3 linked regions of the Neurospora crassa OR74A genome follow. The protein of the gene in region 1 interacts with the protein of each later gene in a biochemical or structural test. Links are inferred from orthologs where the notes say so. Each region holds a gene or a part of one and is shown in the gene's direction. Other genes may lie near its edges.

What was found.
Region 2: the proteins of NCU04327 (region 1) and NCU04378 form a complex in vitro, tested with the Saccharomyces cerevisiae proteins (7 studies listed by BioGRID). The link is inferred for Neurospora crassa OR74A from reciprocal best matches to the Saccharomyces cerevisiae genes MCM2 and CDC45.
Region 3: the proteins of NCU04327 (region 1) and NCU01370 form a complex in vitro, tested with the Saccharomyces cerevisiae proteins (2 studies listed by BioGRID). The link is inferred for Neurospora crassa OR74A from reciprocal best matches to the Saccharomyces cerevisiae genes MCM2 and ORC2.

What each region holds. Positions count from the first base shown.
Region 1 is NC_026505.1:5,630,905-5,634,654, reverse strand, and holds the start of NCU04327 (DNA replication licensing factor mcm2), read left to right. Parts: upstream 1-943; 5' UTR 944-1,095; coding exon 1,096-1,100; intron 1,101-1,183; coding exon 1,184-3,554; intron 3,555-3,696; coding exon 3,697-3,750. Other genes in the region: NCU04328 (metaphase-anaphase transition protein), read right to left, coding at 38-92, 147-280. UniProt on the Saccharomyces cerevisiae protein: Acts as a component of the MCM2-7 complex (MCM complex) which is the putative replicative helicase essential for 'once per cell cycle' DNA replication initiation and elongation in eukaryotic cells.
Region 2 is NC_026504.1:3,568,394-3,572,143, reverse strand, and holds the start of NCU04378 (DNA replication initiation factor Cdc45), read left to right. Parts: upstream 1-1,311; 5' UTR 1,312-1,669; coding exon 1,670-2,437; intron 2,438-2,489; coding exon 2,490-3,750. UniProt on the Saccharomyces cerevisiae protein: Required for initiation of chromosomal DNA replication. Acts at the origin of replication. Also has a role in minichromosome maintenance.
Region 3 is NC_026505.1:3,801,791-3,805,540, reverse strand, and holds the start of NCU01370 (hypothetical protein), read left to right. Parts: upstream 1-1,516; 5' UTR 1,517-1,643; coding exon 1,644-3,340; intron 3,341-3,424; coding exon 3,425-3,539; 3' UTR 3,540-3,750. Other genes in the region: NCU01371 (UPF0660 protein, variant), read right to left, coding at 467-550, 617-955, 1,012-1,245. UniProt on the Saccharomyces cerevisiae protein: Component of the origin recognition complex (ORC) that binds origins of replication. It has a role in both chromosomal replication and mating type transcriptional silencing. Binds to the ARS consensus sequence (ACS) of origins of replication.

The sequences.
Region 1 (3,750 bases):
TTTAAGGAAAAGGGCAGAGAAGACAAGGGACACGCACGTATGGAAGAGCTTCGCGAGCGTCGGCCTCTAGTTGCATTTGGTCGCGGATGAAGCTAGACCATGGTTAGTACTTTGTCATGTGGTAAGTCCAATATATGACAACATACTCTGCGGCAGTCTGAGAGTTTTCTGACTTGGCGGAGAAGCTTTCAGTACGAGTCTTGGTGAGCGCGACTGGTGCTGGAGCTCCATGGCCATCTGGAGTGGCCTCGGCGGGCTGTTGCGCCGGTTGAGGGTCCATGGGTGATGGATGCTTTCACGGTCAATCTTGGATGGTCGGTGGTCTATCAAAATTGTTGATAAGACAAATGCCTCGAGATGGTGCTGGATCACGAAAGATGGGTTCTGTCCGGAAGTCTTTAAAACAAAAAACAATTGCTGGGGCGCGAAGAGGAGGAGGAGGAGGGGGAGGAGGAGGAGGAGGGCGCGTTGGTGGAAGCGTGGGGAGAAGGACCGAGCTTGCAATGTACCCTTGGTTTGGTGTAAGGCACTGTGGTCTATATGTCCAAGCAGCACAGATTGGAATTGGGTTCAAGGAAACCTATTTGAACGTGATCCGATCAATAACATGGCCCTGTAGTATGTAGCACCTTATAGCTCATGCTTTGCTCGTCATTGTTCACTGGACTTTGAGCTTTTGTGACTTTTTGGGAATCTCGACGAGTCGAATTGGCGTGTAAGAGCAGCACCAAGTGGGTCCGGTACGCATTGCCAAGCCCATTAAACCTCAGCAACCACTTAACGCGACCGCCCTTATCCGGCTTAGCGCATCACGTCTGGCGCGTCTTCCCTGGACTGCAACGCGAGAAAAAAGCAGGGACAAGGTCGCCGCAACGAAGGGCAACATTCATTCAGTGGTTCCTCGACGCTGTTTGTCTCCATTCCCCTCCCCCCCCCCCCCCCCTTCTCTCTCTCTGTCTCACCCCGCAACATATCCTCTTTCTGGCTGGCATTCATTCTCCATAGTAACAACTAGGCCAGCATCCTCCACTCTCTTGTTTCTTCCATCTGTAGCTGGCTACAGTCCTCTGAGATACCCTCAGCCAAGTCGCAATCATGAGGTATGTGTGCCTCTTGCTCTTTCGTCTGTCACGGCTTCTCTTCGCAAGTAAACAGTGAATTAACGGAAACTCTCCAATACCAGTTCCCCGCTTCGCGACAACCCGTCCTCTGCCAACCGTGGCGCCGTTCCCAGGGCCACTCGCAAGCGTGCGCGTAACGATCACGATGGTGCTTCCTCGCTTCCCCGCGCTTCGAGCCCTGTCATGCCCTCTTCTCCTCCCGCCTTCCCAGTTGCCCATGGCGCAGATGAGGACGACGACATCGAGGAAGACGTCGCCGCTGAAATCGAAGACGACATTGACGACCTCGACGAGTTGGCCGAAGACGATGTAGATTTGTTCCGCGAAGGCTTCGAGCGCGATTATAGGGAACGAGACGAAAACGACGCCTACGAAGGAATTGACATCGACGATGACGAGTATGAGGCCCTCGACCCCGCCGCAAGGCGCCGTCTTGAAGCCAAGTTGGCCCAGAGAGACCGTCAAGTGAGGATGGGAATGGGCACCACGTATCTTCCTGGTGATGACGACGATGGTGATATCGACCTTACCAACCTGGAACGCCGCCGAAGAATCCGCTACAATGAAGACCCCGATGTCGATATGGATGGCGACATTATGGACTCGGAACTTCCCCTCGAGGCCCTGATGGATGTCAAGGCTGCCACTTTGAGCGAATGGATCTCAGTCCCGGCTGTACAAAAGACCATCCGCAGAGAGTTCAAGGCTTTCCTCACAGAATACACCGACGAGAGCGGTTCGTCCGTCTACGGCAACCGCATCCGTACTCTTGGTGAGATCAACGCCGAGTCTCTCGAGGTCTCCTACGAGCACCTCGCTACAGCCAAGGCCATTCTCGCATACTTCCTCGCCAATGCGCCAACCGAGATGCTCAAGCTCTTCGACGAGGTTGCCATGGAAGTCGTCCTTCTCCATTACCCCGACTACGAGCGCATTCACGCCGAGATCCACGTCCGTATCTTCGACCTTCCTATCCATTATACCCTCCGTCAGCTCCGCCAGTCGCACCTCAACTGTCTTGTGCGCGTGAGCGGTGTCGTCACCCGCCGCACCGGTGTCTTCCCCCAGCTCAAGTATGTCAAGTTCGACTGCACCAAGTGCGGCGTCACTCTCGGTCCCTTCCAGCAAGAGTCCAACGTCGAAGTCAAGATCTCTTACTGCCAGTCCTGCCAGTCTCGTGGCCCCTTCACCCTTAACTCCGAGAAGACCGTCTACCGCAACTACCAAAAGCTCACCCTCCAAGAATCCCCCGGCACCGTTCCCGCCGGTCGTCTGCCCCGTCACCGCGAGGTCATTCTCCTCTGGGACCTGATCGACAAGGCCAAGCCGGGCGAGGAGATCGAAGTAACGGGCATCTACCGCAACAACTACGACGCGCAGCTCAACAACCGCAACGGCTTCCCCGTCTTCGCCACCATCCTCGAAGCCAACAACATTGTCAAATCCCACGACCAGCTCGCCGGCTTCCGCATGACCGAGGAAGACGAGCACGAGATTCGCCGTCTCTCGCGCGACCCGCACATTGTCGACAAGATCATCAACTCCGTCGCCCCTTCCATCTACGGACACACCGACATCAAGACCGCCGTCGCCCTCTCCCTCTTCGGCGGCGTCGCCAAGCAAGTCGGCGCCCACCACATCCGCGGTGACATCAACGTGCTGCTCCTCGGCGACCCCGGTACCGCCAAATCACAAGTACTCAAGTACGCCGAAAAGACGGCCCACCGCGCCGTCTTCGCCACCGGCCAGGGTGCTTCCGCCGTCGGTCTGACGGCTTCCGTCCGGCGCGACCCGCTCACGTCCGAATGGACTCTCGAGGGCGGCGCCCTCGTCCTCGCCGACAAGGGCACCTGCCTGATCGACGAGTTCGACAAGATGAACGACCAGGACCGCACGTCCATCCACGAAGCCATGGAGCAGCAGACCATCTCTATCTCCAAAGCCGGTATCGTCACGACCCTGCAAGCCCGGTGCGGAATCATCGCCGCTGCTAACCCTATTGGCGGGCGGTACAACTCTACCATTCCCTTTTCTGCCAACGTGGAGCTTACCGAGCCGATTCTGTCTCGTTTCGACATCCTTTGCGTCGTGCGCGACACAGTCGAGCCTGAAGAAGATGAGCGGCTGGCGCGCTTCATTGTCGGGTCGCATTCGAGGAGTCATCCGTTGATGAACAACAACACGCAGGACGCTAGCGGTGGTGACTCCATGGAGGTTGAACACGATACCCAAGCTGCTGCGGAAACCCAACAAACTGGTGAACACGGCCGTAAAAAAGAGGGCGAAATCCCACAAGAGCTGTTGAGGAAGTATATCCTTTATGCCCGAGAGCGGTGCCAGCCAAAGTTGTATCACATGGATGAGGATAAGGTGGCGAGGCTGTTTGCGGATATGAGAAGGGAGAGTTTGGCGACGGGGGCTTATCCTATTACTGTAAGTTCTTCCCTCTTTCCTTTTTCCTTTTTTTTTTTTTTTTTTTTTTTTTTTTTTTTTTTTTTTTTTTTTTTTTTCTTTCTTCCTCCGTCACAAAATACAACACAATAACAACTGCTAACCTCACCCACCACCACCTTAGGTCCGTCACTTGGAAGCCATCATCCGCATCTCCGAAGCCTTCTGCCGCATGCGC
Region 2 (3,750 bases), on another chromosome or scaffold:
TCTGAACAGCCTCCTTCCTGCTTTGGTCAGTGAAGGCAGAGGAGCGGTCAGGTTGACCGTAGAAAAGCGTGGGCCGCAAGAGTGGCCGCCGTCGTGGCTGGCTTGGCAGGCCGGCTGGCTACTGTAGTAGCACGGATGGAGTGAAATTGAGACTGTCGCCGACGAGACGGGGCGTGGTGTGGGTGTCGTGGTGGATGGCCAGTGTTGTGAGTGGTGTCTGGTGTGCGGCAGTTGTTGTGTTGTGATCCAAGCAATGATGGAAATGTGGATTGACAAAAGAGGGACCAAACTAAACAGAGGAAGAGAAGCGAAGATGGAAGCTGGATTATAGGTCGAATCGGAAATCCGGAGACGCTGATCCGGAATCCAGGATTGGAAAGCACATCGTTAGATGGTCCCTTCCTGTGCTAGGTATTGTACTTCAATCCGCACTCTGCAATTTCGGAATAGTTCATCATCCCCGGTCCGTTCCTTCACCGCGGACCTTTCTGTGGGACATCGATGCCTGTCTGGACACCTACCTATGCTATGGTAGGAGATGGAGTGGAAAGAGCACAGCTGGTCACCCAGGTTGATAAATTAGTTCAGTTCCAGCTGTTGGGCAGCCCCACGGTGACAGTGTTCTCAGATGATTCCACGGCAACTAAAGAGTTCACTAAAATCCAGGGACATCGGCCGGCAGAAATTCTCGTGAAATTCCACGTTCGACCAGGTGGACAAGTTGCAGAAGTGGAAGCTTCTATCGCATTGCTGTCGTGCAGGAACCTTACTGGCCGTTGTTCCGTTGTCCTCTGGGCAGGCATTTGCCGGGCTATGATGTACCTACCTGGTTTACCTTATTACCTACCTACTTACTGTACCAATGCCCGTGCTTCGGTCGAGGGATGGCCGCCCCGGGGTGCCCCTGTGGCCTTGGCTGTCAGCAGCTGCCCTGGGCAATTCCACTTCGCGTTGTACCCCGCCATTTCTTGATATACTACTGTACGCAGTAGGTAGGTAGGTACTTTACCCAGCTCTACAATAGGTACCTCCCGTCTTGCCTGCCCAAAACCCAAAGCCCCACTACAAGTACGTAGAGGTACCTCTAGGTACAAGCAAACTGGTCGCTCCGGCCGCGTCCTTTCACTGCACGCTTTGTGCTGACGCCCCCCCTGCAGTCCACTGCAGTGGTTGATATCTAAGTAATGCACGCTGTGCCCGCCCTGGCACAAAACCACTTTCACAGAGTCGCGTCTCGAAGCGCGTCCGAAGCGCAGCGCTGGTTGGCCGCCCTTCCATGTCAATTAAAGGATCCTGGCCAACATCAACAAAGGAACACTCCTATCAACACCATCATCCCTCGCCCGAATTATTGTCGACCGCGACAACACTATCCGACTGACGTGCATCGCCATCACACCAGTATTTTTTTGCCATCGTATATTTCAAGCTACATAGTCCAGAGCAGAAAGCTCTTAACGCGGGGCAGGCCGCGTCGCGCATCCCCCGTCGGTTTTTTTTCTGCCCAGTGAACAGAGTTCGAAGTTAGTTACCTCGAGTAAACTACAACTGAAGTGTTCCACGCCGGCGAATATCCCACGACGACGTCGCCTCGCCGCCCCGCCTCGACAATCCGTCCCCAGCCGATTTCCCTCGCTGATCCACCCTCGATACCGATTCTCCCTTCGCAATGTATCTCCCTCGACAGCTTATATCAAAACTCTACCTCCACTTGCAAAATACCCGCCATCCACTATCGCCGCCCGTCCTCATCTTGGTCGCTCTCGAAACCGATGCGCTATGTGCCTGCCGTATCCTAACCCAACTTCTCAAACATGACTATATTCCGCACAAGATCCAGCCAGTCGCTGGCTACTCCGACCTCGAACGTGCCGGCACTGAGCTCGTCAGCCCCATGATGGAGACCCGTGGTGGTGCTGGAGGAGTCGTCGTATGCTTGGGAGTGGGTGGTATGGTTGACCTCGGCACAGTTTTGGGACTTGAGCCCGAGGGCGAAGAAAATACCTTTGGGGGTGTAGAGGTGTGGGTGATCGACTCCCATCGCCCGTGGAACTTGGGCAACGTTTTCGGCGGCTTTCCCCTCGAACCAGAGACGCAAGAGGCCAGGACATTCTCTGCGCGAACCCCCATTGGTGTCAATGGCGGCCGGATAGAGCGAGCATACAAACCAGGCAAAGGCGGCATCATTGTCATGGATGACGGCGACATTGAAGATGAGCTCTCCAAGGAACGAGATGCGTATCTGGCGCTAGTGGATATGCCCGAAATCGAAGATGATGGCCGAGACTTGGGCGACAGTGATGAAGACGAAAGCGAGAACGAGGAAGACACGGGCGATACATCGGTTGTTGCAGGCAGAAAGAGGAAATCATGGTCGGACTTCGACGAGGACGATGATGAAGACGACCGACCCAGACAGCGACGAAGAAGCAATTCGGTGAGTACATTCCGATTTCTTCATAGTAATACATCTCTCATGCCAGATACAGTCGAGTCCAATTCCAGATTCGCCTCGACGACCGCAACACCGTGGTCTCATATCTCTACGCGACGATGCCCTATTTTCCAGTGACGCGCTGGAAGCTCCGCCTGCTGCACAACCACCCAGAGGCCCTTCAGCCAACACCCTCCGACGGAGATTGCTACGACTACGACGAGAAAACGAGGGAGTTTTGCGCGAGTACTACCGACTGGGTACATCATATTCGGAGCCCATCTCGTCCATGATGTACTCCCTTGCGTCAGAACTGGGTCGTGAAGACAACGACCTGCTATGGTTAGCGATCGTTGGGGTCACGTCGATGGAGCTGTACGGCCGCTCATCTGCCGGTATTGCGGTAGCAGCTCGCAGGTCAGACGCCCGCATTTCCGGTTGGCTCGGCATGCGTGGTGCGAGAATACGGCAGCTTCTGCGAGACGAGGTCAGACGTCTCAACCCACCAGAGATAGGAAACGGCCGGGTGCTCCCCGAGACGACAGGAATTATCCCAACAACCGCTCGAAGTCCGGAGGATACCAGTATCAGGTTGTCGCCGGAGCCCAAGTTCCTGCTTATTAGGCACTGGAGTTTATACGACAGCATGCTTCACTCACCCTACCTCTTCTCTCGGCTAAAGACGTGGAGCGAGGCTGGCATGAAGCGATTACACAAGCTTCTCGCCAAGATGGGTGTCAGTCTGGTGCAGTGCAAGCAGAGTTATGCCCACATGGACATGATGTTGAAGCGCGAACTTCGCACCAAACTACTAAAATACGCGTCTCTCTACAACCTCGACGAACTTGTCCCGACCATAGACACGGACGGGAAAGATCGTGGAGGTGCCAAAGATGGATGGGGCTTTGTACGCAGTTGGGGTTGGAGGGCAACCCTGAGTGCGCAAGATGTCGGTGTCGTAGTCGGAGCCCTGTTGGAAGTGGGGAAGAACACCACTAGTGCTGATGACCTTCCTGCTGGCCCATCTCAGGATCTTCTCGACGTAGACAACAACCAGAGCCAAAGTGAGGAGTGGATCCCCAGGTTCTGGGAGGCGTATGATGCGCTGGAGGACATCGAGGCCCTTAAGGCTGGCCTTCCCACGGCGCAGTATCTACACAAGGCCATCTTCACCACTGGCACGACAATTTTGAAGAAGAAACAAATATCTCATCTGCGCGCATTTCGCATGTGCGTGGTCAAGGACTCACCAGATGCGACACTCTTCAACCACCCCGGCGCTTTGACCAAGCTAGCGCTCTGGATCGGTGAAGCAC
Region 3 (3,750 bases), about 1.8 Mb from region 1:
GTCCAACTACTGTGTCTTTGCTAACATATCCGTTGGTAGCGTTCTCTGCCGCTATTCAACGGGACTGATATCAAACCAGCGACCAGTCGGCTCAGCCACACGACACTGTCGCTTATAATCACAACGGTATCCTTAACGTTGCTCGAGAACTCTGATAATCGCGCAGACAGACGGAAAGACAGGCCCGGCAGCTGAGAGGAAAATCTGAAGCACGCCTGTTTCCCTCGCGCCAGAAACCACTATTAAGCGAGACAAGAAACATGTTTCGTAGGCAATGGACACAACGAGCAAGACATCGGGAAAGGGCACAACCACAACGTAGAGGAGAACAACGACGTCGGAACAATTAAAGAGAATGGGGCACAGATGCGAAAGAAAAGAAGAACCCACCTCAGCTACTGGGGATATGCAGAAAACATACATTACTACACGCTGTCTTCTTTCCCTGGAGAAGCACAAAATGCAGTTACTCAAAGGGGCTCACTGGCTCAGGAGCGGTATAACCACGGGATACAAGGAAGGGCGCAACAGTCCTCTCAACTCTCGACCACTATCATATCCCAGTCAGCAAAAGACTTTGGCTTATCACGCAGCTTGGTTGCAGGGTTTCACTTACGATGCTCTTCTGCTGGTGGGGAACAACTCCATCCTTGATCCAAATACCATAGCTGCCCATCATGTTGGCAAGCATCATGTCAGTGGCCAGTCGGTCTCCCACGACGGCGATCTGGTGAGGACTGGTGACACCGGTTTCCGGGTGGGCACGGAAGTAGGACATGATCTCGTCTCCACAGCCTGGCTTTTTCACACCATGGGGGAGAACAGTGATGCCGGTGGCCTTTTCAACTGCGGATGCCATCTGGCCGTCCTTGTCCCAGCTTAGGGCACCAGCAGTGTTGGAAACGATCAGAAGACGGCGTCCTGGGTATGCTGCTCGTAGAGCCTCCATGCGTTCCTTGGCTTAATCAGTCAAAGCGTTCCTGAATGGAATTGGGACGAGAGACAACCCACCTTGTAAGCCTCATACACTTCATTGTGATCAGGATAGGCAAAGCAGTCATCTTTGTCGAGCACGACAGCCTTTATGTCAACCTTCTTCTCGCCATTGCCGGAGAAGGCTTTGTTAAGAGGGATGGGCAGGTCGTTGAACGTTGGAACTGTAGCGTGGGGCAGACATAGTGAAGGCTTGGCGATAAGCTTGAAAATGTTCAATGAGGCAGACAAATTGAGATTGAGCTTTGACATATTGGTCGCGATAGTCCTCTTGGAGTTTGTTTGGTTGAGATGACATGAGGTTGCAAGAAAGCCTATGAACTCTCCCACCTATAACCCTCCCGCGAAGTACCTAGAGGTAGCGTATGTGGTGGTAGACAGGGGCTTGGCTTGCCCCCGTTAGTAGGCAGCGAACCCTGCTACCCGCAGGTACTCTCTAGCAGGTACCTGCTGTCTTCCCATCTAGAGGTAGGTAGCGTCATCCCGGGCGTATGTACAGCTTAACGCGTCTCAATTAAGCGAGCGCGTCTTGACTTTACAAAAGTTTCCCGTAGACTTCGAATTGCAGAGGTAGGGTAAAGGTACAGCGGGACTCCAAGGCATGCCATACAACTTGGACAACATAAACCAAAGCCAATAACACAAACGGTATGCCTCCTCGTCGGAAATCAACAGATCAGCACGATCTAGTCGAACGCCCCTCTCGAAAGCGGCCACTCCCTGCCGACCCCTACGAAGTTCCAGATGAGGATGATGCGGTTCCCTCCGCAAAGCGTCAACGGCGACAACCAGAAGATGGAGGAACACCTTCAAAGCGAAACGCCACCCCGCGGAAACAGGTCGATTTCCTCCAGCGCGACCTAGCCTCTGTGCCAGAAGAACCCGAGTCACCTACCGAGCAGACACCCAGCAAGAAAAGGATAGGGCGACCACCGAAGGCCAAGACGGGAGGAACACCAAGTGGCAAGCCGAGCACACCATCCGCCCTGCGCAAGAAACAAGTCGACGAGACACCGATCAAGCTCAAAGGAATCAGTGGCGTCGACACACCCGGCAGGCGAGGAATTGCCGACCGATCGGCTAGACGGAAGAGTGCCAGGGCTCTCATCGACCGTGTGCTGGAGGGCGCCGTAAGCGATGACGAGGACGAAGAGCAACAAATCGCACGAGAGATCTACGAGTCAAGCGAGGAAGAAGAGGAAGGGGACACCCAACAAGAAAACCTCGCCGACCAAGAGGCCGAGTTAGCAGCAACCACTCCATCCAAGACAGGGAGGGGGAGAGGACGAGGAGGCAGACCCCCCGGTTTAGCACGACGAAAGAAATCGCCCACACCACCCCGAGACCTCCCTCCCCATGAACAATACTTTTACCAGAACAAGCCGGGATCCAACAAAACCTCGAACAACACGCTCTCCTCGCTCGACCTCCTCATCCACGAAGAATACTTCTCGCTTCTCCGCAACCTGGGTCAGGACCCCCACGAAAAACATATCGATGCCCTCCAGTCGCAACACGCCGCCTCCTTCCCCCAATGGGCCTTTGAGCTCTCCCAAGGCTTCAGCGTCTGCCTCTACGGCTACGGCTCCAAGCGTCGACTTTTGCACCAATTCGCCGAGTACCTCTTCTCCTCCTCCGGCGGTAATGACACAAACAACACAACAATCATCATGATCAACGGGCACACCCGCACCCTCACCTTCCGCGAGATCCTCACCACCATCTCGGCCGCCATCGACCCCACCTTCCGCCTACCCTCCGGAAACCCGCTCGCCATGATCCAAAACCTCTTCACCCTCCTCTCCTCTTTTGCTCAAAAGCCAAGAATCACCCTCCTCCTAGCCTCCCTCGACTCCCCCTTCTCCCCCCTCCGCAAACCCCAAACGCAATCCCTCCTCGCCCATCTCTCCTCACACCCAGCCATCTCTCTCGCTTGCACAGTCGACACGCCCGACTTCCCTCTGCTCTGGGACTCTAGCTTACGCTCCTCGTTCAACTTTGCATTTCACGACTGCACCACTTTTGCAGACCACAGCAAAGAGTTGGACGTAGTAGACGAAGTACACGAGTTACTGGGTAGGATGGGCAAGAGAGCGGGTGGCAAGGAAGGAGTGGCGTTTGTGTTGCGGAGTTTACCCGAGAACGCGAGGAAATTGTTTGGGCTGATTGTGGGGGAGGTTTTGGTGGCTTTTGAGGACGGTGGTGGTGGTGGTGGTGGTACATCAGGGGCAGGAGACTTTGCAGCGGGAGGAGAAGGGCCGGGGGTAGAGTATAGGATGCTTTACAACAAGGCTGTGGAGGAGTTTATTTGCAGTTCGGAAATGGCGTTTAGGACGCTGCTAAAGGAGTATGTTCTTCCCTCTGTTGTGACTTGGCTGTGGAGATGATTTTCTTGGTTTTAAAGGGACAACGGCTAACAGAACGGAAACAGATTCCACGATCATCAAATCATTACGAGTCACAAGGACTCGATAGGGACGGAATACTTGAGCTTACCTTTTAGGAAAGAGGAGCTGGAGTCTATCCTGGAGGAGTTGATGTCGTAGTGATGATTGACGACGATGTATCATGACAATGCTAAGTTTTGAATCGAGATGAATGGGACACACACAGATTTGACCTGGAAGTTATCATACACACGGCAACACCCACCACATGTGTTGGAATGGAAGCCTACACATCATATCATAGTCTTAACATATCCAAAATCCTGGAAAGCTCACCGCAGAACATCAATAGCTCAAGTCTTACGATAAT